Xenopus tropicalis: one gene and its partners. The protein of the gene in region 2 purifies or fractionates together with the protein of the main gene of each other region. This does not show direct contact. Links are inferred from orthologs where the notes say so. Each region holds a gene or a part of one and is shown on either strand. Other genes may lie near its edges.

What was found. Proteins that work in one complex are often made in the same cells at the same time.
Region 1: the proteins of wdr24 (region 2) and castor1 purify together in Homo sapiens (affinity purification with mass spectrometry; 3 studies listed by BioGRID and IntAct, counting the BioPlex papers as one, with this or other methods). This does not show direct contact. The link is inferred for Xenopus tropicalis from reciprocal best matches to the Homo sapiens genes WDR24 and CASTOR1.
Region 3: the proteins of wdr24 (region 2) and depdc5 purify together in Homo sapiens (affinity purification with western blotting; 4 studies listed by BioGRID and IntAct, with this or other methods). This does not show direct contact. The link is inferred for Xenopus tropicalis from reciprocal best matches to the Homo sapiens genes WDR24 and DEPDC5.

Annotation. Positions count from the first base shown.
Region 1 is NC_030677.2:144,425,010-144,428,661, reverse strand, and holds part of castor1 (GATS-like protein 3), read right to left. Parts: intron 3,281-3,652; coding exon 3,157-3,280; intron 2,958-3,156; coding exon 2,844-2,957; intron 1,581-2,843; coding exon 1,498-1,580; intron 179-1,497; coding exon 84-178; intron 1-83. UniProt on the Homo sapiens protein: Functions as an intracellular arginine sensor within the amino acid-sensing branch of the TORC1 signaling pathway. As a homodimer or a heterodimer with CASTOR2, binds and inhibits the GATOR subcomplex GATOR2 and thereby mTORC1.
Region 2 is NC_030685.2:93,084-97,187, forward strand, and holds the start of wdr24 (WD repeat-containing protein 24), read right to left. Parts: upstream 2,924-4,104; 5' UTR 2,865-2,923; intron 45-2,864; 5' UTR 1-44. UniProt on the Homo sapiens protein: Catalytic component of the GATOR2 complex, a multiprotein complex that acts as an activator of the amino acid-sensing branch of the mTORC1 signaling pathway. The GATOR2 complex indirectly activates mTORC1 through the inhibition of the GATOR1 subcomplex.
Region 3 is NC_030677.2:152,202,211-152,205,862, forward strand, and holds part of depdc5 (GATOR complex protein DEPDC5), read left to right. Parts: intron 1-296; coding exon 297-380; intron 381-457; coding exon 458-507; intron 508-3,652. UniProt on the Homo sapiens protein: As a component of the GATOR1 complex functions as an inhibitor of the amino acid-sensing branch of the mTORC1 pathway.

The DNA of each region.
Region 1 (3,652 bases), on a different chromosome or scaffold from region 2:
TTTTATTAACTTGCATTTTCTCCTCCCTCGACCATACGTGCAATGAGCGTCCAGACAGGCAGACACAGCTGTGCTTTACTTACCAGCGCATGGTCAAAGTTGTACGAACTGATGTAATAGGCACTTATGTCTGCGGCTGCCAAAGGTCCAGCAATTTGTGCAACTATTCCGCACTCATCTGCATTAATCAGATTGGAAAGTATTAGTTTTACGGGGGGCACAACAGTAATGGAGTAAGAAATATTTGTCGAGTTAAACTGGAGCCTTAATCCATTTCACAACACCACTCGAAGTAAATTTGGAGCTCCATATTTCTCTGTACAAATCAGGTAACACCTACACCAATATGAAAAAGTTGGTGAAAGTTTTTTGGATTTATTAAAGGAATACTGTCATAGGAAAACATGTTTTTTTCAAAACACATCAGTTAATAGTAATAGTTCTCCAGCAAAATCCTGCATTGAAATCCATTTTTCAAAAAGGCAAACATATTTTTTTAATATTTAATTTTGAATGGGGTTAGCCCTGTCCTTCATTTTTTAGGGTGCTACAGCCATGTGACCTGTGCTCTGCTTGAACTTTTAAAAATTGGATTTCAATGCAGGATTCTGCTGGAGAAGCTCTACTGATGAAAAAAACACGTTTTCCCATGACAGTATTCATTTAAGGTCAGTACCAGCCCTGAGTGAGGCCACAAGATGTGAAATTCACAGTGATTGTCTCAAAGAGATTTCAGTGCAACAGAAATCACATCACTGCTATAGGATTGCATCATATTGTACACTAAGGGCTACAAACCTAAATTGAAATCTGCTTATTTATTCTATTGCAGCCTTTCTAGTCTCTGTAGTGTCCAACCTTCCATAAAAAGAAGCCTTAGGCAAATACATTGTTTAAAAGCATACTGAGCACATTAGGATTGCAGGATGTGACAATTACTAAACTCTGCCATTGCCTCTTGTAAATAGACCTCTGACTAACCCATGTAGCTGGTGACCGCCTGGAGCACCACAGAATTATAGTTTACTAAGAAAAACAACAATACTTTCTAGATGTTTTGATTGGCTCGATTTTGTTATCCTAATTTACATGTATACAGCTTCTCATTTTACATAGGTCTTGTGATTACTCCACCTAGCTTTTATTCGAGAATCATTTCCTGGTTTCGTGGCAGAAAGCATAGAGCGAAATGCGACGCACATAGAAGACATGTTTAGTTAAAAAGACAGCATGCTACATAATGAAATCTGATAATATCATGGAAAAGTTTGGCCAGTTTCCATGTGATCCAGTTGCTGAGCTCACATACTGGATCTTTTTTTATGGCCTTGTCTTCTTCACAAGTTTATGCGTCAGTGGGTTACAACATGGACACTGCCATGGCCAGCCATAGGTTTAATGGCCATCAGCAGCATGACACTGTATTAAGATTTTTAGTTATTCTTTTTTTTCTATTAAGAACTCTGTCAGGAGAAATGAAAGTTCAGATAAACTCACCAAACCCAAGGGGCTGTCCACCAATTCTCACCATCCTCCAAAGTTCCCCAGATGAACTAGTTAAAAGCAAGTCAGTGGGAAATCTGCAACACAAAGAAGCAGACTGTCTGATCTCGGGGAAATCACCAGCACAGATATAATCTAAACCTGTCAATGTTTCCCTTACATAGGAGATAATAATAGTCACTACTGTGCAATTGTGAATTACTGGAATTACTGGGAAAAACAGCCCACTTGAATTAAAGCTGCTCTTATTATTACTTATACAAAATAATGTTACTTATTGATACTTTAAGGTTTATTAACAATTAAAGCAACACAACAAAGTTTAATGAAGAAGAGCCTGTCTGCTCCCCCCAGGTGATGTTATTCTAGCTCGGCCTCTGCAAAGTGGTCAGTGAGCCTATTTTATTTATTTATACAGACAAAATGGAGACGATAAAAGCATATGCTACATTTCCTTTTCTATTAGGGCTATCTGTATTCTTTTCTGGCAGAAATGTGTACAAATCTACTGCCATTTGCCATTACGTTAAGGAGAAACCCATGACAGCAGTGGTAATGGTGCTCTCAGCCCAAAAACACTCACTGGAGCAATAATTGCTAGTTTGCTGGACTATGGATATCCCTTATTGTTTGCTCTACAGGCAGAATTAAATGACTGGGATGCTGGTTTCACTGCCTGGCTAATAACTGGCCAGCTTCAAAAATCCCTAGGTCAATTACTGGATCAGCCCAATTGCAACCTTGACAAACAAGCAAATTTTTACATGTATGCCCAGCTTATAGCACATAAATAATATTCTCCCATTACTCAGGCTAGGTAGTGTAGTGTATTTTTTAGCATTTATGGAATCTATCTATTCCCCTGGATACAGATTCTATTGATGCATGTGTGTTGAGATTTACTCAATTAAAAATAGTCATTACTTTTAAGCAATAACATATAATATTTTCAACCGTGATCTATTAACATTATGCATTGTTTTCAGGTCTAAAATGTTTTGTTTCAATAGTATCCCTTTAAATTGTAATATAATGGTGATGGCTAATTTGTTAAGATAAAATTCCTAGAACTCTGCTCAGCTGTTGCTGAACTACAACTGCCAGAATCCCAATAACAACCATTATCTAAGAGTCACAGGTTGAAGAGCACTGTCTAAAGGTGGCCATACAGGGGCATATTTAAGATGCTGATTCAGGTCCTTCAGTCCGATTCAGTAGATTATCTGCCTGGGGCCTCCTGATCAATATATGTCCAAAAATTGCCCAGATGTGGATTGGGCAGGCTTGATTTTCCTGTTGGATCCTATGAAAAGATCCCTGGAACCCAAAGCTTTACATACTTCTCCTGCGTCTTCGTGTCCATGACTATTGATATATACCCGTCTATCAAGGAGAAGGCAAAAAAGTGAAAGAAGCCCAGATCCTGGGATCCTGCAGCAGTGTCTTTCTGGAAACTGCAAAGAAAATCAACAAGATGTAAGTGAGACAGTTGCTGGAAAGATCATTCCAGAGACTTCACATGAAAGATGATATATATATATATATATATATATATATATATATATATAATGTTCCATATACTAATCAGGCTAAGGTATGGCAGCAACAAGAGCACCTCTGGTAGGGTCCCTCAACACTGGAACAGACACTTACGGGTGGGAGTAGAACAGCACATCCAATAGTATGGTAGAAACAGAAGGAAGGGTATCTGGATCCATTGTCAGGATACAGAACTGGTTCTGGGGACTCTGCACAGGATGCACTGTCAGATTAAATACTGTGGGATAGGAAAAACAAGGTTGTAAAACGAGAGCAGTAAGGCAGTCCTACCTGCAGTGAACTGAATCTACCTAAAGCACTACAAGCACATGTCCTGTCCAATAAGCACTAAGCATATTATACAGAGAGTTTAACATAAACAGATCTTGTAACGAGAAACACAACGGTAATATATCCAACTTGCTTGGACAGTCCCATTCTCTTAAAGAGCTATTAGGAAGTTTTAAAGCATACTGTATAAGATACTGTACGTTCAGCATACCACATCTTATGTCTATGCTCCAGTGCATTAACCTTCTCGGCTGCTCCACACTCACATGGGGGGCAGATTTACTAAAACTCTTAACTTTTCTCATTTTAACTCTCATTT
Region 2 (4,104 bases):
AAGTGCTTTTGTTTAAGGTTAGGCACATGGAATTTCTGATGATCCTGCAATTCAAGAAATAAATTATTACATACTATTAACCTATAACCCTAACCTAGCATGGGCTGCTTACAGAGATATCCCTCACCAACATCGTACTGAGACCTAGCATGGGCTGCTTACAGAGATATCCCTCACCAACATCGTACTTATACCTAGCATGGGCTGCTTACAGAGATATCCCTCACCAACATCGTAGTGAGACCTAGCATGGGATGCTTACAGAGATATCCCTCACCAACATCGTACTGAGACCTAGCATGGGATGCTTTACAGAGATATCCCTCACCAACATCATACTTATACCTAGCATGGGCTGCTTACAGAGATATCCCTCACCAACATCGTACTGAGACCTAGCATGGGCTGCTTACAGAGATATCCCTCACCAACATCGTACTTATACCTAGCATGGGCTGCTTACAGAGATATCCCTCACCAACATCGTACTTATACCTAGCATGGGCTGCTTACAGAGATATCCCTCACCAACATCATACTGAGACCTAGCATGGGCTGCTTACAGAGATATCCCTCACCAACATCGTACTGAGACCTAGCATGGGCTGCTTACAGAGATATCCCTCACCAACATCGTACTTATACCTAGCATGGGCTGCTTACAGAGATATCCCTCACCAACATCGTACTTATACCTAGCATGGGCTGCTTACAGAGATATCCCTCACCAACATCGTACTGAGACCTAGCATGGGCTGCTTACAGAGATATCCCTCACCAACATCGTACTGAGACCTAGCATGGGCTGCTTACAGAGCTATCCCTCACCAACATCGTACTGAGACCTAGCATGGGCTGCTTACAGAGATATCCCTCACCAACATCGTACTGAGACCTAGCATGGGCTGCTTACAGAGATATCCCTCACCAACATCGTACTGAGACCTAGCATGGGCTGCTTACAGAGATATCCCTGACCAACATCGTACTGAGACCTAGCATGGGCTGCTTACAGAGATATCCCTGACCAACATCGTACTGAGACCTAGCATGGGCTGCTTACAGAGATATCCCTCACCAACATCGTACTGAGACCTAGCATGGGCTGCTTACAGAGATATCCCTCACCAACATCGTACTGAGACCTAGCATGGGCTGCTTACAGAGATATCCCTCACCAACATCGTACTGAGACCTAGCATGGGCTGCTTACAGAGATGTCCCTCACCAACATCGTACTGAGACCTAGCATGGGCTGCTTACAGAGATATCCCTCACCAACATCGTACTGAGACCTAGCATGGGCTGCTTACAGATACATTTCTCACCAACCCTGCTAAGACCTATCATGGCCTGATTACAAAGATACCTCTCACCCTATTATACTAAGAGCTCCTGGGGGTTGCTTGCCCCATCATACCTCACATACACTGCTTACACACGTATCTCCTGTACCTTCGCACCTAGACCTGCCATGGGTTGCCTACAGATACCTCTTGAACCCATGATACCGAGACCTGCCATTGGCCGCTTACAGACATATCCCTTACCCTATCATACCGAGACCTGCCATTGGCCGCTTACAGACATATCCCTTACCCTATCATACCGAGACCTGCCATTGGCCACTTACAGACATATCCCTTACCCTATCATACCGAGACCTACCATTGGCCACTTACAGACATATCCCTTACCCTATCATACCGAGACCTACCATTGGCCACTTACAGACATATCCCTTACCCTATCATACCGAGACCTACCATTGGCCACTTACAGACATATCCCTTACCCTATCATACCGAGACCTGCCATTGGCCGCTTACAGACATATCCCTTACCCTATCATACCGAGACCTACTATTGGCCACTTACAGACATATCCCTTACCCTATCATACCGAGACCTGCCATTGGCCGCTTACAGACATATCCCTTACCCTATCATACCGAGACCTGCCATTGGCCGCTTACAGACATATCCCTTACCCTATCATACCGAGACCTGCCATTGGCCGCTTACAGACATATCCCTTACCCTATCATACCGAGACCTGCCATTGGCCACTTACAGACATATCCCTTACCCTATCATACCGAGACCTGCCATTGGCCGCTTACAGACATATCCCTTACCCTATCATACCGAGACCTGCCATTGGCCGCTTACAGACATATCCCTTACCCTATCATACCGAGACCTGCCATTGGCCACTTACAGACATATCCCTTACCCTATCATGCTGAGACCTGCCATTGGCTGCTTACAGACATATCCCTTACCCTATCATACCGAGACCTGCCATTGGCCACTTACAGACATATCCCTTACCCTATCATACCGAGACCTGCCATTGGCCACTTACAGACATATCCCTTACCCTATCATACCGAGACCTGCCATTGGCCACTTACAGACATATTCCTTACCCTATCATACCGAGACCTGCCATTGGCTGCTTACAGACATATCCCTTACCCTATCATACCGAGACCTGCCATTGGCCGCTTACAGACATATCCCTTACCCTATCATACCGAGACCTGCCATTGGCCGCTTACAGACATATCCCTTACCCTATCATACCGAGACCTGCCATTGGCTGCTTACAGACATATCCCTTACCCTATCATACCGAGACCTACCATTGGCCACTTACAGACATATCCCTTACCCTATCATACCGAGACCTGCCATTGGCTGCTTACAGACATATCCCTTACCCTATCATGCTGAGACCTGCCATTGGCTGCTTACAGCCCCCTCTCCCCCTGTCAGTACTGAGCTATACCCCGGCTGCTTCCCTCTCAGCCCTTACCATACCGGGACGTACCCCGGGCTGCTTCCCTCTCAGCCCTTACCATACCGGGACGTAGCTTGGCTGCTCACATCTCTCTATATCACATGTTCTTCCCTACACTTCCACAGCAAACTCTGTAGCACAGTCGCCCCGCCCCCGTGAGGTACAAACTCCAAGTCTCATCACGCGAGACTGGCTTTGCGCGTAACACAGTGACGCAGTACGTAACGCCTTGTGGGCGTGGCTAGCCGACGTTACACGGGCGGAAGTTGCCGTAGCTCCTCTCAGTGTCTGTTTCCTGTGCTGGTACCTCATAGTACAATAAAAAGAATAAAGATTGGTGTGTTGTGTTGGCTGCTGAGTGTCCCCCCAGCTCCCAGTCGCTTTAGGGGTCATTTATATTAAACAGGTTGAACAAGGAGAATTATCGGTGGGTCATACAGGGAGTCAGTCCCATAAAGTCACGTTAATAAACCTGGTGGGTTGGTGATTATCAGTTATTACTCCCTTACTAGATTATATAATCATTTATATCTGGCAGTTTATCAGGTGTAACCGGTCAGTTAACAGTGAATGTGCCAGTTATTAGGGCTACATACATTCTGTGGGACATAAATACCAGCCTTGGTTTGTTGCCCTTTATCCCTATGAGTAATATTGGCAGTGAGTGGCCGGGGCAAGCGTACTTACAGCCACAGTGCCATACCGACCATAACAAGCAATGTGTCGCTAGCGCTGAGTGTTCATTGGCCGCAATGGGGCAGAGTGTGTGCGACTGCCCACCGTGCCCTTACAGGAGACATATAAACATTGGGCACGTACCAGGGAATTATACTCCTCTACATAATACATTGTGTTTCCGCTGATTTATTCCCGCAATACCCCACTAGCCCCGCCCATCTGTGCCACTTCCTGCTGCCTCCTTTCCCAGGCTGTGCAGGGGGGCCGGCGGCACTGTAGGATAGGAACCAATCAGCAGCTAGGCTGACCTGATAGGGGACTGAAGCCTGTCTGTGCTTGTGTGACTGCAGGGCTGTGATTGGCTCTCCCCCTCCTACAGGGACCGTTAGGACACGCCCACCCCTCATGAAACACAGACAGGGACCTGAGAGGATCTATAGGGAGCTCCAATAAAGGGGCCATTGTTACAGATAGGGTTAATGTTTAGCCCAAAGGGAAACCAGCACCGGATATTAATTGCCTACAAGGTTAGGGGTTTCCCTTTATCCTATATGTCTCCTTTAATTCCTTGGTATTTAAATGTAGGGATCCCCAAGTTTAGGCCCCTTAGGTGGGTTCCC
Region 3 (3,652 bases), on a different chromosome or scaffold from region 2:
TTAAAGAAAATAAGTTAGTTGCATTTGGGCAGGTTATATATAGGCATGAAGGTTGAACTTGATGGATGTGTGTCTTTTTTCAAGCTAACTTACTATGTTACTATGTAAATGAATCATTTCAAACTATATAGAGCAATAATAAGTGCTTGGGAATTCTTTGTAGCATCATCTTTAACCTCAGCAGATTTTGAAATGAGCATCACAAGTGAGACACTGGCTTCACAGTTTGAGAAAAACTGGTTAAAGCATTTTCCTGATACCTAACAAAGTTTAAAAAATTCTTTCTGACTTTCTAGGATGTGACTCTTGATCTTGTGGAGTTAACATTTAAGGACCAGTATATAGGTCGTGGAGATATGTGGAGGCTAAAAAAGAGTTTGGTAGGTTTTGGAAACATTAATAACTTTTGCAAAAGAAATTATTTCTCTATACTAACTTTACTACCTTTGCACCTCAGGTCAGCTCCTGTGCTTACATAACTCAGAAAGTGGAGTTTGCTGGAATTCGGTATGTAAACAGTACTGTAATTTGCCTCAGTAAATTAAAACATGTCATTTTTTTCTAAGCTTGTTCTTAATGGATGTTCCTGCTTCAAATATGAGCTGTTATTTGTTTATATATTTTAAGTAGTTTGACAGAAAGCAAGTTAGTACTGTATTTGATTCCCAGTTTGCTTCACTTATTTTAGCTGCCAGTATTATAAAATCATAGAAGACACAGACTTTTAATTATTTGCTTCCCTTTAGGCGAAGCTCATTGCAAAGGACTCTGTGCCACTGTACATGCAAGCATCTAGTGACCCACCCAGACAGTATTTGTAGAAGCTACTTTAGGTGCTTACTTTTTGTCTGAGGATACAAGTAAGCAATGACCCATTTCAGGTAGTTACTGCATAGTGAATCCAGCACTCCAGATTAAAGTGGAAAAGGTGTTTTTATTTGACTTAATCACCTAACCCAGCAGGACAGTGTATCCTAGGTTTCCTGTTGGTTACTTGGGGTCCTAGAGACTGGTGTATTTTGTTAGTGGAAGCTAAAATTTAAGTAACACCACATTTTGATGAAAATACAAGTTTTGGCAATACAACCTAAAGGGGAACTCCACCCAAACATAATTTAAGCTTAATTTCAAGCAACTTTGTATTATACATTAATTATAAAATATGCAGCCTTTTCATGATTTTAATGTAATAATATGGTTTGAACAGCTACCTAAGCCTATCTCTCTGTTCTCCTGCTGATCTGGCTGACTACTTTGAGACTCAAAAAAAATGCAACAGTAGTTGATTGTCCTCAGCCTGCCTTCAGTCTAATCCTCCAAATCTCTGCACATTTGATGTTAGTAAGAAAAATTGCATTGCAAAGCATTGTGGATTATGAAGTTCCTGCATGGTGTCTGTAAGCTGTGGAGAAGTTGTTACAGTTTGTAACATCACTGTTTTAGTCCCTCCTACCCATGCAGGATTTTAAATGATGCAGAAAGAGAAGAACTATTTTGCAGTTGTATTTTAGCATATAAAAATGGTATTTATTCACACTTTTTGAAGAAACAAATTACAGGGATAGGTCAATTGGGGGTTTCTTTGTTGTGTGGGGCTTTTTTTCAAATTTTGGTTCGGAAGCCAGAGTTCCCTTTTAAACTCATAATCAATTGCCTTAAGTATTTCTATCACTCAGTTTCTAATTAAAAAGTGCTTGGTAATGAATATGATTTTTGTTTAGCCCTCATCTGTGGTGAATGACCCTATTATATGTTGGCATGCTTAATGTTTTTATTTATTTTATAATCTATTATAAGTGACACAATCCTATGGGCAAAATAGTCGCTCTTCTGAGAACTTTTCCAAGATATTGGGGTGAATCAGGATATCTAGGACATGTCTCGACAGAGTTCACATGCTGACATATAATAAAATTGTGTAAATACTTTGAAGTCAAAGGTAAATGTCAGAGCTTTCTTTCTTAACATATGCAGCACAGGATTCTCGCTGGAAGAATTCTTCCAGCCACTCTGGTGTGTTGGATGTGGTACACTGTATAAATATTTTTGCAGCTCAGTAAGGCATATTGGTTATTAAAGGAGAAGGAAAGTCAAAATCTATTAAGCACACTATTGAATAGTACTACTATTGCTATGTAAAAATGCTATAATTCTGGCTTGCCTAATGAAAGATTTACAGAGAATGCCCTGCTACATTCTACATTTTTCAGTGAATGGCGCCGCCATCTTTAACAAAGGAGGCCCCCCCTCCCCCTGCGTCCTTCTGTGTCTCCCCCCCAGCAGCTGCGTCCTTATGTGTAACCACCGCCGGTTTGTGTGCTCCAATTGTCAGCTTGTGTGCTCCTCTTGTCAGCACCCCCCCCCCCCGGTGGCGCTTAGATCCTCGTACAGGCTTCTAACGTTACTTGCAGTGAACAGCGCCACCATCGCTTTGTTTGTTCACTTGATCTACCCGGCACCCTTCTTGCCTCTCCCCCTACCTGCCGCTGTGTCTCATGTTCATTCTGCCGCTGTGTCTCATGTTCATTCTGCCGCTGTGTCTCATACTCATGCTGCTGCTGTGTAAGTGCTGGGGTTGCCATGCCAACCAGACGCTAGGGGGAGCCTCTTGTTTGTGCGCATGCGCCGCCTATAGTCCCGAGTCTCCAAGTCTGGGGAAGAGGGATGCATTATGGGAATCTTCTCTACCCAGCTCAGCGTTTTTTCTAACTGTTTGGCTTCTGATCCTCTGAACGGGAGAAATATGGGGAGACTTAAGGGCACTATTGAGAGAACTGAAGGTATGCCTGCATTTTAATATTAACTCTTTAATAGTATGTTTTTTTACAGATGTCTACATTAAGTGGCCCTACATGGCTACTTTTTGTCAGCATGATCACCTAAACATTCATTGCAGCTTGGGGTTCATTTTCAACACGCCATGCTGTAATCTAGTAATTGCAGTCACTTTCTCCAAACTATAAACCTATTCTGCCTGTGTCTCTTCTTAGCAGGTGGATAGGTCATCAGCAGATGCAGAAGTGAGAGGAGCTGTAGCTCCTATCAGACTTTAAACAATTGTATTTACCTGCACGCAGTTATAGCCCTATACCTTTTTTTGCTATCCATTTGATGTTTACCTTTGAAGCAAATATTTTTGCTATAGAACAGACCTCCTAAGTATTGTCCCACATAGGTACATGAGAGATGTTATTTGCACCTCCTTTCCTTCAATTTGTTATTTTACAACTTCTGGTTGCCGAAGTGTTTTCAGCATGCAGCTGACACCTGGCTAAATGAGGGATATAGGTTTCAGATCACTGCTAATGTGGAGATTCTTATTCTGGAAATGTTAGTGGGTCTATAGTCTTTGGGTAGTTTATATTCCTTGATCAACACCTGTTTTTTTTGTCTCTTATTGCACTTGCTTGGCTTTCGTTTTTCTAACCATTGCTTACACTGTCGTTACTGTTGGATCTCTGGTTAGCATACTTCTATATATTCAGTTTGTTAGGCAGAGCGGCAAAGTGAAAAATGAACATGAGGAGCATGGACTTTTTGCAGGAAAGTCATGGAAGTTTCCCTCTTGCCAACCCTTTCTCCTATTTTATACATTACTGGTCCAAGCCCACTAGTATTTTTCTGTCTTTTGCCCCACCCAAACCACTCCAAA